Linked DNA regions of Tamandua tetradactyla. The protein of the gene in region 1 interacts with the protein of each later gene in a biochemical or structural test. Links are inferred from orthologs where the notes say so. Each region holds a gene or a part of one and is shown on either strand. Other genes may lie near its edges.

The links.
Region 2: the proteins of PBX1 (region 1) and PKNOX1 form a complex in vitro, tested with the Homo sapiens proteins (2 studies listed by BioGRID). The link is inferred for Tamandua tetradactyla from reciprocal best matches to the Homo sapiens genes PBX1 and PKNOX1.

The regions. Positions count from the first base shown.
Region 1 is NC_135330.1:17,806,909-17,817,066, forward strand, and holds the start of PBX1 (pre-B-cell leukemia transcription factor 1), read left to right. Parts: upstream 1-5,528; 5' UTR 5,529-5,975; exon of another isoform or gene 5,976-6,214; 5' UTR 6,215-6,265; coding exon 6,266-6,456; intron 6,457-9,598; coding exon 9,599-9,672; intron 9,673-10,158. UniProt on the Homo sapiens protein: Transcription factor which binds the DNA sequence 5'-TGATTGAT-3' as part of a heterodimer with HOX proteins such as HOXA1, HOXA5, HOXB7 and HOXB8. Binds to the DNA sequence 5'-TGATTGAC-3' in complex with a nuclear factor which is not a class I HOX protein.
Region 2 is NC_135336.1:100,389,847-100,400,842, reverse strand, and holds the start of PKNOX1 (homeobox protein PKNOX1), read right to left. Parts: upstream 5,100-10,996; 5' UTR 4,971-5,099; intron 4,130-4,970; exon of another isoform or gene 1-4,129. UniProt on the Homo sapiens protein: Activates transcription in the presence of PBX1A and HOXA1.

The DNA.
Region 1 (10,158 bases):
TCTCTGATGTTTGCATTAATTTATTTGTTCCACTATGTCTTAGATTCTTAGGGCTGCCACAATAAAGTATACAAACTAGGTGGTTTAAAACAACAGAATTCACAATTCTGTAGGCTGTAAGTCTAAAATCAAGGTATTGGCAGAGACATACTTCCTCTGATGTTTCTAGAAAAGAACCTGTTCCATGCCTCTCTCCTGGCTTCTGGTAGTTTGTCAGAAATCGTGGGCTTCAGATCTCTGCCTCGGGTGTCACACGTTTATCTTCTTTCTGTCTTTTTGCCTTGTGCAAATTTCTTCTTCTTTTAAGAACACCAAGTCATATTGGATCAGGGGTCCCTGCTACTCCAGTATGACCTTATTTTGATTTGCCTAATTCCATCCGAAATGACCCTATTTCCAAATAAAGTCACATTCTAAGGTACTGGGAGTTAAGACCTCAGCGTATCCTTTTGGGGGACATAATTCAATCTATAACACACTAGAATTGAAGTTTCATGAGATCAGAGACTGTGCCTGGCATACTCACTGCTGGCATATTCACTAGCGATCAGAAAGTACCTGGCATGTGATATATTGTTAACAAATATTTGTGAAATATATGTCAAATGTCACTCTTCTGCTTAGCACTCTCCAATGGATTTCAAATGCATTTAGAATAAAATCCAAACTCCTAACAATGGCCTAAAACTCTAAATGTTATCTGGGCTTTGCTTCCTTCTCTGGCTTTAGCTTAATATGCTTTTTCTCTTCCTTACTATGCTACAGTGTCTCTGGCTTTTTTTCTCTCAAATTATACAAGCTCAGGCCCTACACACACATTGCCAGTCAGGTCTCCCCACCCTTCTTCCATCCCCCCACCCCACCCCATTGCCCTTTCCAAGATATAGGCATATCTGGCTTTTTATCATTCAAGACTAACCCAAATGTCAACTTCTAAGAGAGGACTTCCCAGACCACCATATTTGGTGTTACTTCCCCAACTCTATGTCACTTTATCTTGTTTCATTTTATTCATAGCACTTATGAGCCCCTGAGGTTATGTATTTCTTTATTTACTTATTGTTTATCTTCTACACTAGGATGCAAATTCTTTGAAATCTGGGAATCCAATTTGTCATATATTACCAGTGCCTGGAACAATATAACAATGTTAATGTTCTGCGGCAACTCCACCCTCTTTCTTTTGATTTGCATTCCAGGGTTGATACCTGTGGCTCTCAGCCATTATATTGGTATTGAATTGACTATCATTCACTTTCCATTCCTAATGGACTGTTTATAGTCTGAACTTCTGTTTAGGCAACAGAGGTTGATAATCCCTTGTAAACCCCACCTGCTAAGAGTTGCACAGTTTCCCCAGACCAATGCAGCATTGAGTTGTACCACTTTACTTCCTCATTCAAGGTTAGAAGATGTAACCTTTTGGGGGGTCCAGAAATTTCTCGGGACTCTGATAAATTGACCGTGTTGTAAAAATAATGCACAGCATCACATACCAGTAAGTTTTATATATAATTTCCAGGGAGTCACAGAGCTCCTAAAGCGCATTTATGTTCTAATCTCTGCCCTAATATCCTTTCCCAGCACTGCTTCATGGCCTGCCCTATGAGGCAAAGAAACAGGAATAAGCTGGGAGGGGACAGATCTCTGTGAAAAAGATGAAGGGGTTTGGACAGAAAAAAAGGAAGAGCAAGAGGAATGAAGGAGGAGAACAGAGTGGAAAAGCTGAAGAAAAGCGTGAAGAAGGGGGTAAAAGAGTAGCTGAAAGAGAAACACAAGAATCCTTGAATACCAACTGCCTCAGTACTATCTCTGGTTAATAGCCCTGGTTGTGACCCTCAGAGAATTTATTTTCCCATGTTGATAGCAGAGTTTCAGATATTTAGAGGCCAAAGCAAATATATTCCTAAAGATATATAGATGAACATGTGATTAGATGATTTAAGATCATGTGGTGGTGAACTTATTTATGTGACATGCAAGGAGGCCCATCTCTTTGCAACAATTTGTTTGCTTGGGGAATAGTAACTGGTCCTTGCACACTCCTCATGCACTTCCCTCTTTGTCTCTTAACAAAGATGAGAATATAGAGTAGTGGGCTTGTAAGGAAGTTTCAAAGAGAATACTCGGGTTTCCTAAATATTTGACATACAGGTCAACAAGGTAAAATGACTTTGTAAACATGTGAGAATGAGACTGAGAACTACTTTGCTAGTTGGCCAAGTTTTGATAATGACTCATGTCCTTAAAACTTGATTCAGAGGGCTTTAGTTACTAGTCTGAAGAAATACAGCATGATTACTGGCATCATTCATTCTTTCAATGCAGATTTGTTAAACATCTATTACAATTAAGGCACAGCTAAGATATGGAAGGTATAAAATAGCATTATCCATCCCTTGTCACAACCTATAAGGTAAGGAAACTGAATGTATAAGTTTTTCCTCGGGGTATAATTTTAGAGATTTCTTAATGTAAATAGAAGAAGATTCTAATTTTTATTCTGTTTCACCTACAATAGTTTCTTCTCTTAACTTCATTTTCTGTAATGTATTGAAAATAAGAGAGTGTTACATCCATACTTTGTCCAGTAATTCAACTTTGAGGAAACTTGGTTTCTTCCTCTGCAAAATGGAGATTATAACCTCACTGGGAAGTTGTAGAAATTGTGCTCAACTGTTAAAATTTAGTGATAATGTACATATTGTGCTTGAAACACAATCAGCACTCAACAAATTGTATACATAGCCATAATTTTCTGTTAATGCCACCACATCTTTCTTGACCAAGTTTGAAAATATTTCCTTTATCCTTCCCACCCATATAAAATAAATTATCTTTTGGCTCTACTTTGAAAATGTTCCTTGTGATTGTCCTCTCCTTTCTATCTCTACTGTCACTGTCCTAATTCAGGCCTTACTTAATTTTCCCTACTCAAACCATTTTGTGTTGGGCAAACAGGTAAGTCTTCCTGAAACATGCTTTTCTGCTTCCTTGTTTAAAGCAAACACTTCAGTGGCTCTCCAGTGTCTACCAGCTAAAGCACAAACTCTGATGTTGAAGGTCTTCACAACCATACCTTTCTAATATTCTTTTCATTGTGCCCAACAGAAACCCTGTGCGACAGTCAAATTCGTTAGCCTGTCCTCCAGATCCAATTCTTTCTTCGGATCTACCTTGGAACCAATTTCTAATCACCCAATCATGTTGTTTCTAATCCCTTATAGGACTTCTAGAACATGGTGACACTTCTGTAGCATGTATTATATACTGAAATGTATTTGGATAGTGCCATAGGATAATGGTTAAAAGCCTAGTTACTACGGCCAGCTGTCCTGATTCAATTAAGAGACCACCTTGAATATAATACCCTACCATGGTAAGCACTCAATAACATTAACCATAATAATTATTATTGTTGTTGTATACATTTCTTGTCTCCCTAATAAAATGTTGCTAGAAATAAAAATCTTTGTATATCGATGGTACTTTTCTCAATTTTTGCCCTGTGAGCTTTTATGAGGCTTGCAGTTTGAATTAGTTGCTCACAATGGCTTTCTTACAGGTTCTGGGTTGACTTCCTTTTCTTCTTTTATGATGTGATAACTTCCGTTGCTGTAAGGGCTATGCTAACTCACACTCACTGTGATGTGTGATTTGAGCATACAGTTTTGTGCCCAACTTTTGTTTAGGGTTGATAAAACAAATAGTTTAACACGAGTATGTATGTGAATAAAACAATTGTCCTAAAGTAATAGGACATTGTCTTACAATTAATACTCACTACTGAATGTTCTCATGTGAAGAAGTGCCAAGTAGCTTATTAAGAACTGCCTCAAAAAGCTTTCATAAGTGCCCCTTATCTTGCCAAACTCGTTTTGTATAATGATTGGGAAAGAGGCTGGATTGATGAAAGAATAACATTTTATTTGAGATCTCAAAGCATTCAGCAAGACTGCACTCCATTTTGCAGACTGGGAACACTGACGTTTGCAGTGCTTCAATACATTTCCTTTGCCATCTAGGGAGAGGGAAGGACAAGCAACAGAATATCTTACATTCCAAAATATGCTGGGCTTTTCCTGAGTAATTGCACTTCTATTTTATCTTATGGCCATTGTGAGTGTACAACCAGACAGATTTCCCCTTCTGCCCTGCCTAATGAAAAAGAGTCAAATTTCTGGTTTATCTAGGGTTAGAGTATAAGACTTTAGCAACAAGTGCATTTCTTTTCCTGATTCCATGTTATCCTTATTTTTCCTTATTCTTTCCTACCCATTTTCAATTTGAGTCATCTTGTTCTAATATATATCTTTGTAAGGATCTGAAGTCTCTTTTCATACAAGATGGGCAATAAATACATTAAAACTAGTTTTGACACTCTTCACTTTTCCATTAGACTAAGGCTGGTTGTATAATGCAAACGCCACACCCTTTGGAGAGACCCACACTTGGGTTTGAATTCCAGCTTTGATACTTAATAAAAGTGGGACCTTGGGCAAATTACTTAAGCTTTCTAAGTTCCCTCTCTATAAAATGGAAATAATAGTTCAATAGTTCATCTCACAGAGATGACTTGTGGATAAAGTAAGACAATTCATGTAAATTACTTGGTGCGTAGTAGGCATTCAATAAATGTCAATTCCTTTCTTCTCCTAGTTGCTTGTTAAACTATATTAAAAACTAGAACTGGACTGTGATAATGCATTTCTTAATATTAAGTATTTAAGCCAATAACTAATTTCCCCCAGGGGGGAACAGAGAGAAATGTTTGAATTAGTTTCATTTGGGGAACTTATTTTCATAATCTTTTTTTCTTCAGCATGATTTAGCTTCACGGTCCCCAATTAGTTTTTATGCAACAAAACGTCACAGTTCAGTATTCCTCTTAACTCTACTGTGATTGTTGTTTTTATCTATTATTGCATCTGCTGCTTATTAGAGATCATTATTAGTCATATTAACAGTTGAATTGGTTTTTATAACTCCTTCATACTGTCAAATGTTTGCTCTCAACAATTTCCATGAGTTCTAAGGATTTAAAAGAGTCAAGTTTTTAATGGCAACGTTACAGCTCCAAACAAAACAAACAAGCCAAAATAACCCGGGCAGAAAAAAAAAATCTCCCCTCGACCGTGTTCTTTCGTGTTAATTTTATACGTTTGCAATTAAGTAGAGCTACGTTTGCCTTAAGGCCGAAATCAAAATGTGCTGAGATCTGAGAAAGGAAAGAAAAGTGGAAAGTGACTAATTGAGCTGGAACTACGGTACCGTTGCACCTTTAAGGCCTGGAGACTTGGTATTAGCTCGGCCTCCTTCCCAGCCCACCTCTGAACTCTGATTGACAGGTCGCCCGGCGAGGAGGAGCAGAAGGAGGCTGAAGAGGAGGTGCAGTGAGGAAAGTAGCGAGAGGAGGGGCCCGTCTTTTCTCTGATGGCCAATCAGCGGAGGGGGGCGGGGCTCCGCACGCCCTCCTCCCTCCTCTTCCCCGCCTCCTGGTGTCCCCGCCCCCTCTCCCCTTTCCTCTGCCCCCTCCCCTATCCTCCTTCTCGTCGTCCTCCTCCTTCTCCTCCTCCTCCTCTCAGGCTGTGGTTTTTCTGTATATGTTTCTGGAGTCCTGAGCCTGAGCTAAACAAAAGCAGGAGGCTGACGGGGTTGCTGGAGTTTGCAGAGACACGGAGGAGAAGAGAGCCTGTGCTTTGCCTGCTGCCGCGGCTGGGGGAGATCTGGCTTTTGCAACAGCCCACCCCCTTTGAGATCACTCTGGCCCGGAGTGGGGGTGGGGGCAGCGGGGGGTGGGGGGGGGAAAGTTTGCATTGCAATCCCCCTGCCTTCCTTCCCTTTCTCCCGATCAATGCATATTTGCAAAAGGATTAAGCTACAGATTTAAGCGCCGGGACCCATTTCTGCTTTGCAAAGGAGACCGGACTGGGAAACCAAAAGCCAGCTCTGATTTCTTTTCGCCAAGTGGGAAGGTGGTTTATTTTTCTTGCTTTTTTGGAGTCAACACCCTTCCCCGCCAGCCCTTATCCCCACCCTCACCCCGCAACCCCTTCACGCCCCCTCCCCCTCCCCACTCCCCATCCTCCCACCATCCTCTAAAGAGGCAAAGGGATTTTTTTTTTCTTTTGGTCTTCTTTTTCTCTCCTTCCCTGTTTATCCTGAAAAGGATTTGAAGACAGCTTGAAGGATAAAAAGCCTTGGTGCTTTCCAGGAGCCAAGCCGAGAAGAAGAGGAAGAGCCGGGGCCGCCGTTGCCTTTGGAGATGGACGAGCAGCCCAGGCTGATGCATTCCCATGCTGGGGTCGGGATGGCCGGACACCCCGGCCTGTCCCAGCACTTGCAGGATGGGGCCGGAGGGACCGAGGGGGAGGGCGGGAGGAAGCAGGACATTGGAGACATTTTACAGCAAATTATGACCATCACAGACCAGAGTTTGGATGAGGCGCAGGCCAGGTGAGATGGAGGCTTTTCTTTTCCTTTCTTGGGTTTTTTTGTTTGTTTGTTTGTTTTTCCCCCACTCGCTGAGGGGAAACAATGGGAAGCGATCACCACAGCGCTTTCTTTTTAAATGTTATTTCTTTTCCCATTTTGACGAGCAGCTACATGGCGGAGGAGTAAAATTTGCAGGAGCGTTGTTATCGAAAGTGTAATCGCCCATGCCGTGATGTGGCTGTGTATACATATATCTAGATAGATGTGTGTGTATGAATATAGAAATACTCATATATAGCCACAAAAACATTCAGGGACGCTGAAAATGCTGCCAACTGATCCAGAAGCGGCCCTCGGCACTATTTACTGCTTTTAAAAAAAGTATCAGAGAAAGCAGAATTGTCAAGTTTTGAGCAGCATTCCATGCCTTCTTATTGAGGGACTCCGTTACATTACAAATAAAAGGTCCCAGGAACACTTTATTTGCAAATTTAGTTGTCTCCTTGCCTAATTCAGCGCAATTTTCTTTCTTGACTTACCCCTCCAAAATTAATGATATTTTCCCCCTTTATTCCCCCCCCTTCAAAAATCAGGGCATTTCTTTGTCAATAGTTGTCAGCTATCCGGAGAATATTTTGTTTTCACTTAATTCTATCTCAAAAAAAAAAAAACTAGTGGAAAGAAAGAGAATACAATTTTGCATTTAGACATATTTGTTCGGTCTAAGAGACTGAGATAATTCTGTTTAACTTTATTGTCTCAATTTGAGTCGGTTTACTAACCTTGGGTGACACGGACAGCTCTGTATGGTCCTTTAAAAAGGGGTGGGGGATAAAAATTAAGCATGCTCTTTTCCCCATGCTTTCTTCAGCACGGCTTAAAATGCAACTAAATAAAAAGGAAAGCATGTGTGAATTTTATGTATTTCAATACTGTAGGGCATGAAGATCTTCATTAAGGAAAAAGAAGCTGTGAAGCTTCCCAACTTAATCCACCGCCAGGTATATAGTCCTCCACTCTAGGATTTTACAGTAAATTCTCTTTCAAATAAAACAGACTAAGTGGCAACCTACTAACAGCTTGTCCAAGGCGGAGCTCAAAAGGGAGAATTTTAAAAACTAATGACCACATATGTCCATTCAATTACCCAGCTTTGTTAAATCTCAGAAGTATTCTCCTCATTCTGAAAATCTTCTAAACATATGTACATCATTCCTATATCGCAAATAGACTTAGTTATAGTAGTAGAAGACATCATTACATCATTATATGTATTTTGTCTTAAGGGAAATAGAAGTTTGAGTTGAGAAAATGAGAAGTGGTAGTAAAAAGCATGAATGCATGAATTACAGTCTTATTTTAGCTGTAAGCACATGCAACATGTAAACTCAAAAGTACTGAGCTTTACGGGTGCTCGAAAACTTGGAAATGTTCAAAGACTCGAACTATTCTAATTTTTTTTAATGGGGAAAAGTTTTCAGAAATTAATTGCTGTTCTTTGTGAATTTTATTACCTGTTCTCTTTTGAATTGGAACAGATTTCTCCATTACATTGATCCAGAAAAATACTCTGGATTATTTGCAAGTTTGTGAAGTGGAAGAGGCCAGTAAAAACGGTTACACACTACTTTTCTGATGTGTTGTCCTTCATTTTTTATGAAACTGAGGACAAACATGGCTTTGGGGGGGTCCCCCTTTTAAAGGCCTGGATGCTTAGAAAGATCAGACCATTTGGGGATAGGGAAATTCTCTGTTCTAGTACCCCATTTGTATGTTATGGAAATGGAATATTTGTGTAAGGCTGTGCAGGGATTTTTGTTTACACTTGGGCCTATGTTTAAGAATACAATTAATGAAAACTATTTTAAAAGATCACAAAAGAGGTCTTGAGTACATTAAAGAAGTCTTTTCTGCCCTTTCTCTCATTCCATATGAGGACTGATTAAATCACCAGTCTGCTTTCTTTTTGGTTAAACGATGTAACTCTATGTAGCAAATACTATGTCCTTTTTTCTTTTTCTCCAGTCATACCTTCATGATGTATATTAATGATTTACTCTGTAAATCATTAATATTTTAGACACAGACTGTGAGTTTATTTGGATAGTCATGAATTCTGAGCTTGTTAAACCTCTGCTCTACATTATTTACAGTATGCTTCTGGTTCATGAGGATGTGTATCTATTTTTTAACTTTCAAAGGGTTTAAAAATAAATTGCATGTGTTTTGAGAGCCAAGGATTTCCATTTATCTTTACACATTCATTTTAGTTAACAGAATTCCCTTGACTAATAGCTGATAGGACCAGTATTTTGTTTCCAAAACAATATCCTTCTGCTAAATGATTTTATAATAAAATAAAGGAAAAGGTATTGTTTTGTTCCTCTGGTGCATTCTGAATTCAAACACATGCAAGAATCAGGTAAATCACTAATCTAAAAGGCAGAATAGTATTTATTTTTTTCCCCAATGGGTGCAAGATTCTAATTGTAAATAATTGAATTTCAACACCTGCAAACAGGCAGTGTGTGCACAAGAGGCATAATGTGAACACCGAGAAATGAATTTATTCCCCATATGGGTATGTTTGCCCCCTGGCAATGCATTTCCATACTCTTTAAGTTGGGGACTGAAATTTTATAAATTGACAGTTCTACACAGAAGACCTTTCAAGCATCTTGTGTTTATGAGAATACAGGGGCATCTGCGGAATGAATTCGAACACATGGATGAATTAAATTTGAAAACACACACACAGACCGGGAGGCAGACGGCTCCTAGGCTGTGGTGGTTGCATAGATTATTCAGAACTGTTAACACATGCATTTGGCCTTGCTGTACTCATTGCTTTGGCTAGGAGTATTGGTTTAAGAATTCCACTTTGATTAAACTACTTAAAAAACAACAACAACTTTGTCTAAATGGGCATAATTTAGGTTAGTTCTGTTCTGCAGTTAAATCCCTATTCTCTCCCTACTGATGAACAGTATTTCTTTTTCTATGGTGGGACTCGCATATTAAGTCATAAAAACAACCGAAGCATGCCACAGAGTTACGCTTGGGATATAATTTTGGCTAAATGTTTAAATTTTCTTCCCTGGTGCATTATCAGCATTTGATCTTGAAAGTCTACCTAAGCTATCGTGTTGTTTCTTTCTTGCAGAAAACATGCTTTAAACTGCCACAGAATGAAGCCTGCCTTGTTTAATGTGTTGTGTGAAATCAAAGAAAAAACAGGTAGGAATGTGATTTCAGTATTTAAGCATTTTCTTTGTCAGTTGATTCACTCAGCAGCAAACACTAACCCATTATTTAAATATTAAAATTTCAGAATATAAGTACTATCAAGACTGATCGCATTTTTCAATAGGAACTTCTAGCCCAGCTTCCTTTAAAGAATGCACTAAGTTTCCTTGACAATTATTATCAAGTGTAACTGGTTTATTTTCCTTTTCTCCATTCCTGGCCTACTTGAAATTGAAATAATAATACAGGTTCTGAAGGGAATTTTATAAAATGTTGTGCCTTTGGGGGAAAATTATGAAAGTAAAAACCCCATGTCCTGAAGGAATATATTTGTCCCATATTTAAAACTGTAATTATTGCTATTATTTTTTGGAGTTGGGCATGGGGGTAGGACGGGCACTGAGCTGTTTTAAAGTTATCTTTTCTTTTTTTCTTGAAGTTACACGAAGCAGCAGACCAGAGGTTCGAAAGCAGAGT
Region 2 (10,996 bases), on another chromosome or scaffold:
TCCAGCCTTTTTGTTCCCCCCAGTTATTCATCTTTTTTAAAAAAGCAAAGATTTAATTGAAGATCCTTTCCCAAACTAAACCTCTTTATTAATAAACCCAAGAAAGCTGTCAAAATAGCCAGGAAAACTGTCAAGAACCTAAATTCAAAAGACACCTTCTCCAAGATACCTTTTGAGACAGTAAACGACACATCACCACCGTTCGAGGAGTTTTCATTCTGCATGTGAAGACGTCTCAGGCACCAACCGTGTACAGATGAGCCCTCCCAATCTGTCTTCTAGCCTGGGCTTCATATCCCCTGCCCCAGAGAGATGTGCAGTCAATAATCCACTCTGAGGAGCACATTTGTCAAGAAATCACTTTATTTTTCAAAGAAGGTGGGGGGAGAGGTACCACTGGAAGTTCAATATTTCAAATAAAATCACAGATATCAAATTCTGTTAAAATCAAATCTCTGTACAAAAAAACTATTTTCAAACCCCAAAGGTCTACATATGTCCACTAAAGACAGAGAAAAATTCTAATAACAAACATAATTCAGTGCTTCAGAATTTGTTTTAACAGACTCTGATCTGAGTGGTCATTACAGCTGGCAGAATTTAAATTAAAATATAAACTTCTTAAGACCACGTTTGTCATGGCATCAGTAAAAACTGACACTTGAAACTTTCCTCATGTACTTGGTACTAAGGGTGGATGGGCCTGGTTTATGGAAACCAGGAGCCCCAGCCTTTGAGTCAGGGCCCCTTTTCACATAGACTATCTTTGTTTCTAGGCACCATCTGTGCCCAGGGACAAAGCCCAGCAGGAATGGCCACCAGTGTGCCTGTGCTTCCCAACGGCTCACACCTTCCTCACCCCAGGCCCCCAGCCCAGTAGCTACCCCAAAGCCAGGAAAAAAACAGCTTTCAGATGTAAACTAAACAGAACCACATCTGGCACAGCCCTAAAAGGTACAGGAATAGAGCAGAATCACAAAGTGGTTTGAGAAGAAGTCTTAGATACATTCCTTAAATGGCAAACGGTGGGTTATATAAATACATAGAAATATACATAATAACATTACCTAAAAATGCCACACAGAGAGCTTAACTGATCATGTAAAAACGTATGCATAAACACAGAACTAAATTTAGACAAATGTTCAAGCTTAACAAAATTTGATATTGATTACGTGTCTTTTTTCCTGTAAATGCCTAATTTTTTTTTTGGCATTGGCAGGCTCCAGGATTTGAACCCAGGTCTCTGGCACAGCAGGCGAGAACCACTGCCACCGAGCCACCGTTGCACTGCCTAAATTCCTAAATTTTTTCAATACAAACCTTGAGAGAATATGTTAAACAACACCTAACAGAGCCACACACACCCTACATTAAGGCGTGTTTGGGGCCACGCCACCCTGCACGTGCTCCGAAGTGTGCCCTGGGAAGAGGAGCACCCAGGGGCCCTTGGGGGCTGAGAGGGCTGTGGGGACCACAGGCTCTCTCTCAACAGGCAAGGCCGAGGCCGGGCAGGGGCTGGAGCCTTCCAGAGCGCACCTGCACTCCCAGACCAAGGATGATGACCGTCCCTCGGATCCCCATGACCCCTTTTCCCTATCACTAAGTGATCCTGATCTCCAGGGCCTGAAGAAAGCCTGCTCCACGTCCCCGAGACCTGAAGAAAGGGCCCCAGTCCAGTCTCCCGGGTGGCTTCCCTGGGTACAGTCCGCTCAGCTGGAGGGTAACCCCAGAAAGCATGTGGGGAACATGCTTTCTGGGTGACGGGATCCCACTCCCCCTGAGCAGAAATGATCTCACACAGGGAGGGATACTAGCCATGCCTGTCCATCAGGTAACCCTAACCCTAAGGAGGGAAAGAGAAGGCCTGGATGACAGTCCCATGGGGGAACCCATTTTAGAGAAAGTCCCAGTACAATAAAATGAATCCAAAACTTTACTAACTCAAAGACCCTCAATCTCTCAACCTCAAGTCATCTGTCTCCAAGTTTTTAAAAAGCTGCAGAACCTTTCCCCAAAGAAATCTTTCATTGACCAGCCCTGCTACATATAAAATGGCTAAGACTGAAACACTGTTTCTGCCCCTTCCAAAGTCCCTGAGCTGTGTTCTGTGAACCAGTACTTCAGGGAAACAGGAATTTTAAGCCATTTCAGACTATACATTTGCTTAATTTCGTGCTGTGGATTTTCCAGAAACCATCACTTTAAACCTCAGAAACAAGGGGCTGTTTGCTGAAGGCAGGCGGCAGGCTGGGTGCTCCGACCAGCAGGACCAGGATGGCAGGCCAACAGGGTAGGTATACTGAGGCTCATCTGACAGAAAGAAAAGCAAGGCCCTGGGCCAGCAATCGTAGCCAGGCCTGCTGGCTAATTCCATCAAAGGACTGACGCTCCCTGCCCCGAAATGTTTTACAATGTCCACCAAATGAACTTTTTCTAAAGTATATTACCACCTTGAGGGCCTTCTTAGAGTTTTTGCAAAACCCAGAGTAGTCACCATTGGGGAACCCCACGTGCCTACTGCTACTCCCACACCTGCCATGGTCACCTGTACCATCTGTGCAACTATTCTACTCGTTTGAGGAAGATAAAAGAGAAGGGCACCTACATTTCCCATGAGTAAATAGACTTATAGTGCAGGGGCTCTTTACTTGGTATCTGTGACCTGGAATGAGAAAAACTATCAGCTGTCTGTGTGCACTAAATGCCAGCTGAAAGGCTGTGTTCTCCAATTACAAACGCAGACCGTAAATGCCACAGCTTTAGGAGGACCTGGGACTCTTCCCCTAAGAGAAATCACAGGCATTTTCATAAAACATTAAGTTGTTTCAGAAATTTCAAAATATCAGTTATGCTCATCAAACTCCAAAATTATCAGATCTGCTACTGGATCTTGTCACTTGGTGAGTTAATAAAGAGCACGGTACAGTAATTTATCACCAATGTGTTTTCCAATATTTTGGTAACTGTATTTTTCAGTGGTAAGTAGCTTCCTTCTTGATCCTTTTCATTTTAGTGTTTCTCTGAAGAGACAGAAAGAAGCCTGAGGGAGGTGGGAGGGAGAAGTAAAGTTTAGGACACCCCAGGGGGCACACTTTGCATCACTTTAGCAGTTTCAGGCCTTTCCTTTTCTAATGTTTCAAATGCAATTATGCAACAAAAGTGAACGTTGTAAGTAGAAAGCTACTATTCATATGTAATACTATTCTAAACAGTTACAATACAGTGCCTGGGTTTAAAATATCTATAAAACAGAGGAAAGGAATCTCAAAAAAACACTTTGGCCCTGGTGTCATTAACAACTAGTCTGTTAAATCACAAGCTTAAAACGCAAGTCATCTTTCACCCACCATGATTCATCAATTCCAAAACACTTAAATCTCCGAAATTTTGTGGGGCTCCTTCAAAGGAAAGCACTGTCAGCGGTATCATTCTAGCTGCATACACAAGAGACTCATTGTCTCTTTGAGTGGCAGACTCAATGAAATAAGCGAGCCAGATATCACCCCCCACCGTAAGCAAATTCAGGAAAAATAGTAAAATGGGTGGGGGGGCAGATCGGAGGCAGCCTGCCTCGTCCAGACCACTGTACCTACCTGAGATTCAGGACATTACCGAGATCTACACTGGCAAACGTACAGTTGACCTCAATTCTTGCTCTAATATTTAGCGAAAGCCCCTAAAGTTACACTTAACTACCGTAAGGGGGAAAGCAACCCCTTCCTAAGGAAATTCGGTCACTCTCATAAATCAACGAATGCTTATACTCTAAATAACTACGTTAAGCTGCTCTTACATGTGACAAATCTATTCTGGAGCGCTGCAAGCCTGCGCCCATGCACCGAACACGCACTCCCTTCCGACCGGCCTCCGCAGGGGCCAAGCATCACAGAGGGCCTCCCAGCGGGTCTCGGGCACCATCAGGAACCGGCATTCCAGGAGCCCGCGGGAGGACAGAAAGCAGACTCGAGCTTCTCAAGCCTTTTCAGGTGACTCACGATTCCTCCCTAAAGGAACGCCCGCGAGCCGCTCGGCCAGGCCACTCCGGACCCTGCGGTCATCCACCCCAAACTGACGCCGCGCCTCACACCTCTGTAACTAATTCCACAAGACCAGCCCGACGCTCCGGCGGGACAGCCCCCAGTGCGACCCCCGTGCACCACCCCGCGCCCCGAAAACGCTCGGACCCGGCGGTGGCCGCGGGCTGCATTCCGCGCGCTCCCAGGGCCGCAGGCCAGGGTGGGACGCGAGGGGAGGGGGAGCAGGGGGGAAGCTGAGAGGAGGCGACCTACGAGGGGGAAGGGCCCTGCGAGGAGAGGAGGGCTGCGAGGAGGGGGGCTGCAAGGAGAGAGGCACCGCGGGGATGCGTCCCGACCTCCGCCCGGCGGCCGCCATCTTCCCGCCCCCACCCGCGCGCGAGCCCGCGACCCCCCCCCACCGCTACGGGGACCGCGAGGCTCGCGACCCGCCTACACCCAGGCCCGGGCCGGCGCGCGCCCCCGCGGGCCTCTCAGCCAGGCCCGCCCAGCCCGCGCGCCCCCGCGCGCCGCCCGCGCCTGGCGCGCCCCCGTGCACCGCCCTTCCACCCCCGCAGGGGCGCGCGCCGCGCTCCGAAGGGGACGGTTAGGAGGGCGCGCCTCGCAGCGGGCCCAGCGTGGCGGCGCCTTCCAGAAATTTCCTCCCACCTCAACCCTCACTTAAAAACAAACTCGGCGCGACCCCGAGTGGGTCCCGGCGTGGACGGCGCCCCCGCCCCGCCGCCGCCCGCACCCCTCCCCCACCGCGCCCCCCTCGCCCCTGCCCCGGGGCGGCGGGTCAAGTGCGGGGGCCTGCTTGGCGTCCCGCCCCGCCGACAGCCAGGCGTCGGGTGGCGGCGGGGCGGCGGGGCGGCGGCGGCCGGTGTGATTGATAGGGACGGCGGCGGCGGCGAGCGGCGGCGGCGGCGGCGGAGCGGTTGAGTGACAGCTTACCTGGGTGCCAATCTTCATCACACTGACAAGCGGCTGCAGCAATCGGGACCCGCAGTGCCGCGCCCGCGTCCAACCGTCACGCCGACGCCGGGCCACGCGACACAGCCTCGCTCAATGGGAGGAGGGCGACGCCGACGCGCGCAGCATCAATATTCACAGAGGGGGCGGGGCCTTCCAGCGACGCGCCCCGCCCCGCGCCCTGCCAGACGGCGGGCGGGGGCGGGGCCTGCGCTGAAGGGGCGGAGAGCGCGCCGGGGGCCTGGTCGGCGCCGGCCCCACCCCAACTCGCGCTGCAGCCGGGCCACGCCCCCTCCGGCCGAGCGGGCGCGCGGGAAGGCCCGCCCCTCCCCGAAGGCGGAGATACCCGTCATGACTATGCAGATGAGGGCGTGGCCTCCAGAGCGTGCCGCGCCCCTTTGCCTGCCACCGCAGCTCGTAGTTGCTGCCCGGCCGAGAGCGGCGGGCGGGGCGCAGATGGGCGAGACTATCTTCCGCGGTCGGGGAGGGGCCAGGGCTGGACCGCGGGCGGCCGGTAGTGTTCCCGGCCCGCCCTCTGAGCCTCCGCAGACCGACGCGTCTGTCCGGGCCCGCTGTGCGCTGGGGACCTGGGCTGGGTCCCGCACCCCGCGGCCCTTTCCGGTCTCGGAGGCCGCGCGCCTGCGCCGGAGTCGGGGCCGTCGGAGTGAGCACGTGCGCGCTGCTGCGGAGCCCGGGGCCGGGGCCGGGGCGGAGGTCGTGCGGGCCTGCGGACTAGCCTCGGCCCACGCAGGCCCGGGGGCTCAAGGGTCCCGGGCCGGGAACGCCGTCTATCCCCAAGGCGCGGGAGCTTCGAAGAAAAAACCCAAACACATCTTCTTTGCATATTTTCGTTTAAGTAGCCAGCCATTCCTCCTGCTTTCCGCCGAGTTTCTACCAAAGATCTGTTACTCTTTCCCCGAGGACCGTGTTCAGGTGTGTGAATTAAAAGGCCGTGTGTAATTGTCGGTGGGACTAGGCGCGTAGAATTCTGCCTCTCATCAGTTGCACTAGGTACAAATTATAGGGCTAAAAGAACTGTCTCGGCACTTAGATTTGCAAAACGGGTTTCCAGAGCTCATTGACGTGATTTCATCTAGAGATGAGCAGTCACATCTTTGTGCTCCTATATTTATCCTGATATTTCCAGCCCTTGCCTCACCAGAGAGGGATTCCAATCCTACCTGTGCTGGGCCAGTTGAGCCTGCCCGGTGGGCCAAACAGGACGGGCACCGCGCGGGTCGTGGAGGGTAGGCAGGCAAAGAGGCGGAGACGCCTTGAGGGGCACAAGAAGTGACTGTTGCCTAGTGCCAGCCTTGGCGAGGGAGCACCCGCTCTGGGCCCGGCCTGTCCCAGGTGTTGGGGGTCTAAAGAAAAGGAGAGACTGGACCGTACCCAACGCAGGTGACCGCAGTCCGGAAAGCAGGCTGTGACCCAGACCTGGCCAAATTCCCTACATGCTGCTTGGCCAGCTGGAGAGGCGGGAGGGGCTGGGGGAGGGCATGGCTGTGGTTGTTCTTAAGGTGGGTGAGGAGCTGGAGGGGCGTGGATAAGAAAAATGAGCAAGACAGCCATGTAAAAGTAAGGGTTTGGGCCTGGTTTTCAAGGCAACCACTTTGGTTAGCTAAACTGCTTGGGTTTGCAGAGGTGTGTGGGGACAGGAAGTCATGAGCCATGAGTGGGGTGGATGATCCTTTTAAAAATATGACCTATCCAAAGAGCAACCCAGGGAATCTTATGAATGACCCAAAGCTTAAATTAGACTTGCCAACTTTTCATTTTGCCATAGTAGCTCAACCCCAGCTGCCCTGTCCCTGGCCGGCTCTGCTGCAGCCACCACTTGCCTTGCTGCTCCTTGGTCACACCAGGCTTGCTGTTCCCTCACCCGAAACACTCTTCCCAACGGCACCTCAGGGCACCCTCCCACCTCCCCATAGCCTTGGTACCAGTATCGCTTTCTCAGAAGATACTCACTGTAGTTTTCTAGGCTTCTCAAGCAAACACCAGGATATGGGAATTTATTTGCTTATGATTTTGAGGCTAAAAGAAAGTTCAGATCAAGCCATATCAAAGTGATGCCTTCTTCCTGAAGACCCACTGATAGGCCTTCTTGTCTCTTGTGCCATGTGACACGGCACCCAGTGGCCGTGGCTGCTCTCTCTCTACTTTTTCGAGTTTCATTGATTTCAACTTTTTGCTTCCCATGGCTTTTTTTTTCTCTCTCTCTCTCTTTCCTTAGCTGAAGTAACCTTTCTAGGACATGGTGGGTACAACTAGTGCTACTACAAGTGCTAGGGAACTAATAATGCTGTGTAACAAATGGCCACAAACTTAGCGGCCTGGAACGACTTACACTGTGATCTCATGGCTTCTCTGGCTTGAGATCAGGGCATGGCTTAGCCGGGCGCTCAGCCACAGGGTATCCCCATCAGGCCACAGACAAAGCGTCAGCCGGGCAGGGTGAAAACGAATCTGTTTCCAGGCTCACCCATGGGCAGGGGTCAGGTCCTGCGGCCACTGGACTGCGGCCTCGTTTCCCCCAGGCCGCTGGCCATTCTGAGGCCCAGCCACGCGGCCTCCACACTCTGCAGCTGGCAGGACGTAAGGGACAAGCTTATGTAATCACAGAAGTGACACCCCATCCTTTCTCTGTATCCTGAGGGTTAGCAGCAAGTCCCAGGTCCCGCCCACATGCAGGGGGAAGGATTGCTGAGAGCGTGAGTGCCAGGGAGAGAGGGCCCTGGGGGCCCGTCCCACAGCCTGCCCACCACAGGTGGCGTTTTTTTCTGCTGTGTAAAAGAGGCAGTTGTGATGGAGCCAGAAGAGCCTTGGGCCTGGAGTCAAAAGTCCTGAATGTCAAGAGAGCCTGGCTTTGCTGGTTACTGAGCTCCAGTTTCCTCCATCTTCAAATAGTGATAGTGCGGCTATCATGGGATTGCGTGGCGGAGGAAAGGAAGTGGCGGGTGGTAAGCACCCAGGGCCCAGTAGACCCTTGGGGGTCAAGGCAGCTAATGCCGTCAGCTTCGCTTCCCCAAGGACCCCATCAGAGTGCAGCAGGGAAATGGCAGTGCAGCCAGATGTGAGGTTTATCCATGTTAAAAGACAGTTAAAAAAGAAGTCATGCCTCCCATACAGATATAAAATGAACACATGGCATGAATTTTAATGAATTCATTAATTAAATGAGGGAACAGGAAGCTGTTGGAGCCGACTTAAAGGAGAATGCAAAGAACAATAAGATTTATGGATCAGGAATATTGGCATGCACTTGCCAATTGTGCAAAACTGGCCTTTGGGTGGGAGGGTTGGTGAGGCTGGGGCCAGAGCTTGTCCCTCCTCCATTCAGAACCCATTTGCATGTCCACAGACAAAAATGATTTGCATTATCCTCATTTCTCTCCAAAGTCAATGAAGGGCTACAATCGGAGACCCCAGAAGAGTGAGCACTCAGGACTGTGGGGTTCCCCTCTCTGGGGGACGGAAATGTTTGGGGAATGGAGGGTGGTGATGGTGGCACATCGTGAAGATAATTATGGTCACTGAATTGTGTACTTGAAAGAAGTTAAAGTGGGAAATGTTAGTTTGTATATATGTTACCATATATATATACCACAGAAGAAGCAGAAGAATGCCTACTTGCCCACTGGACACACTTAGTACTATTTTTTGTATGTGTATTCCAAATTTCCTACAGGATCTTGGGGCCTAGTGGTTGAGGAAATCCTAACCTAGAAGCACAGCTGACCAGGCAGGACTGTCAGGGAAAAGAGGTCCTGCGCTTTGATCAAAGCACGTGTGCCGGTTTGAATCTGTTGTGGACGCCAGAATAGCCATGTTCTTTAATAATCCTCATTCAATATTGTTGGGTAGGATCTTTTTTATTGTTTCCATGGAGATATGACCCACCCAGTTGTGGGTGGTGACCTTTGATTAGACGGTTTCCATGGAGATGTGTCTCCTTTCTACCCATTCAAGGTACAGTTGCTTACTGGAACCCTTAAAGAGGGAACCATTTTGGAAAAAGCTTCAGAGTCACCAGAACCAACAGAGCCCATGCAGGAGAGACCTTTGGAGATGAAGAAAGAAAATATCCCCGGAGAAACTTCATGAAATGACAAAAACAACAGAGAGAGCCAACAGAAGCTTTAGGGTCAACAGAGAGAGCAGAGACACGGATGTTTAGAGATGCTTGGAGCCTAGCAAACATTGCCGTGTGTTTTCCCATGAAATGTTAAGCCAGCCAGAACCTGCAGAGAGCCAAGGGAAACCAAGAGTTGAAAGCCAGCCCCAGGGAAGCAAAGTGGAGACCCCCACATGGACAGAGACTGAAAGCAACAGAGCCCAGAAGCAAGGGACCAGCAGATGCCAGCCACATGACTTCCCAGCTGACAGAGCTGTTCCGGACAGCATCAGCCTTTCTTGAATGAACGTGACCTCTTGTTGGTGCCTTAATTTGGACACTTCCACTTCCGTAGAACTGTAAACTTATAACTTATTAAATTCCCCTTTTTAAAAGCTGTTCCAGTTCTGATGTATCACATTCCAGCAGCTTGCACACTAACACAGCATCTAATGCATACGTCCTTGCTTCGGGAGAATTCTTAACTGCGTCCCTTCCCACGGATGCAGGTGTTCCACAGTCCAGTTGGAGTGAAGCTTTCGGACAAGTTAGTACAGGTCCACACATGCCCCTGCCGAGGACACTCAGAACCGGTGGGCTATAACCTCAATCCCAGAATGATTCGGCCTACTAGGGGTGTCCCTTGGTCATTAACTTAAAATCTGTTCATCAGTAAAATGTTTATGGGGGTCCACCCTGGATAGAGCATGGTGGTGGGTCCCTGGTCTCCCATGCTTACTGCCCACAAGGCTTGATTTACCTGAAATTACAACCAACAACTCAAAACACTGCAATGGAAACAAAGAACACTGGGCATTACATTGATTGTGCAGGGTTTTGGGCAACTTTCCTAGTGAAAAACAAGTTTGATCCCACCATCTCCCCAGAACAGCCAGGTGGACATCTAGAAGCTTCTCTATGTGTCTCCTCTTAGACAGCATTTGCTTCTTCATGGTCTCAGCTGCCAAGTACTACCCACGACCAACTGCTGCCCAAACCTCAGACAACCGGTTCCTAAAACTGGGAGGCCTGCAGAGATCAGGAAATTTTTTTTTGGGGGGGGGGGGGTACTAGAACAGATGCCCCAACTGTAGTAGCTACAAATGGCAGAGCAGCCATGCTGCCTTCTTGCAACCAGCAACTTTTCAAAATGGAGTACTGTTTTAACTCTCTAATTTAAGAATGGGCCAGTTTCTATACTATATTCAGGCAAAGGATGTTGTCTATGATGTCATTTTTGTAAAAATATTTTTCCTGTCAAAGCCACAAAGTAACAACAGCTGGATCCTCCACAGGGCTGAGTAGACTTGGTCCCCCAGCCTGCTGCCCAGTGTCGGGGTCCAGGGATGTTGGTTGACAAAGCCCTCTCTCCTGGAAGCTTCCAGTTTCTTCTGTTTGGGTATTCCTTACTGATCTGAGAAAGAAAGGGAACTGTCAGAATCACACTATGCTTTGGTGTTTGCTACATGTGTAGGGAGTTGAATGAGGTGTGTTCCCCAAAAGATTTGTCCTCCCAGAATCTCAGTACGTGACCGTATTTTGGGTAAAGGTCTTTGGAGAGATAATTAAGGGAAGGACCTCAAAATGAGATCATCCTGGATTATGTGAACCGTAAAGCCAGGTATGAGTTCCTTAGATGAGAAGACAGAGAAGAACATATGGTGACAGAGGAAGCAGAGATTGGAATTATGCAACCACAAACCAAGGAAACAGGGATCGCCAGCAAACACCAGAAGCTTGAAGAAGTAAGGAAGGTGTTTTCATTTCCTGGGCTTCTCAGAGCAAATACAATGAATTGGGTTGGGTTAAACAATGGGAATTGATTCAGTTTTGAGGCTGAGAAAATGTCCAAATCAAGACATTATCAAGGTGATGCTTTTGTCCCAAAGGC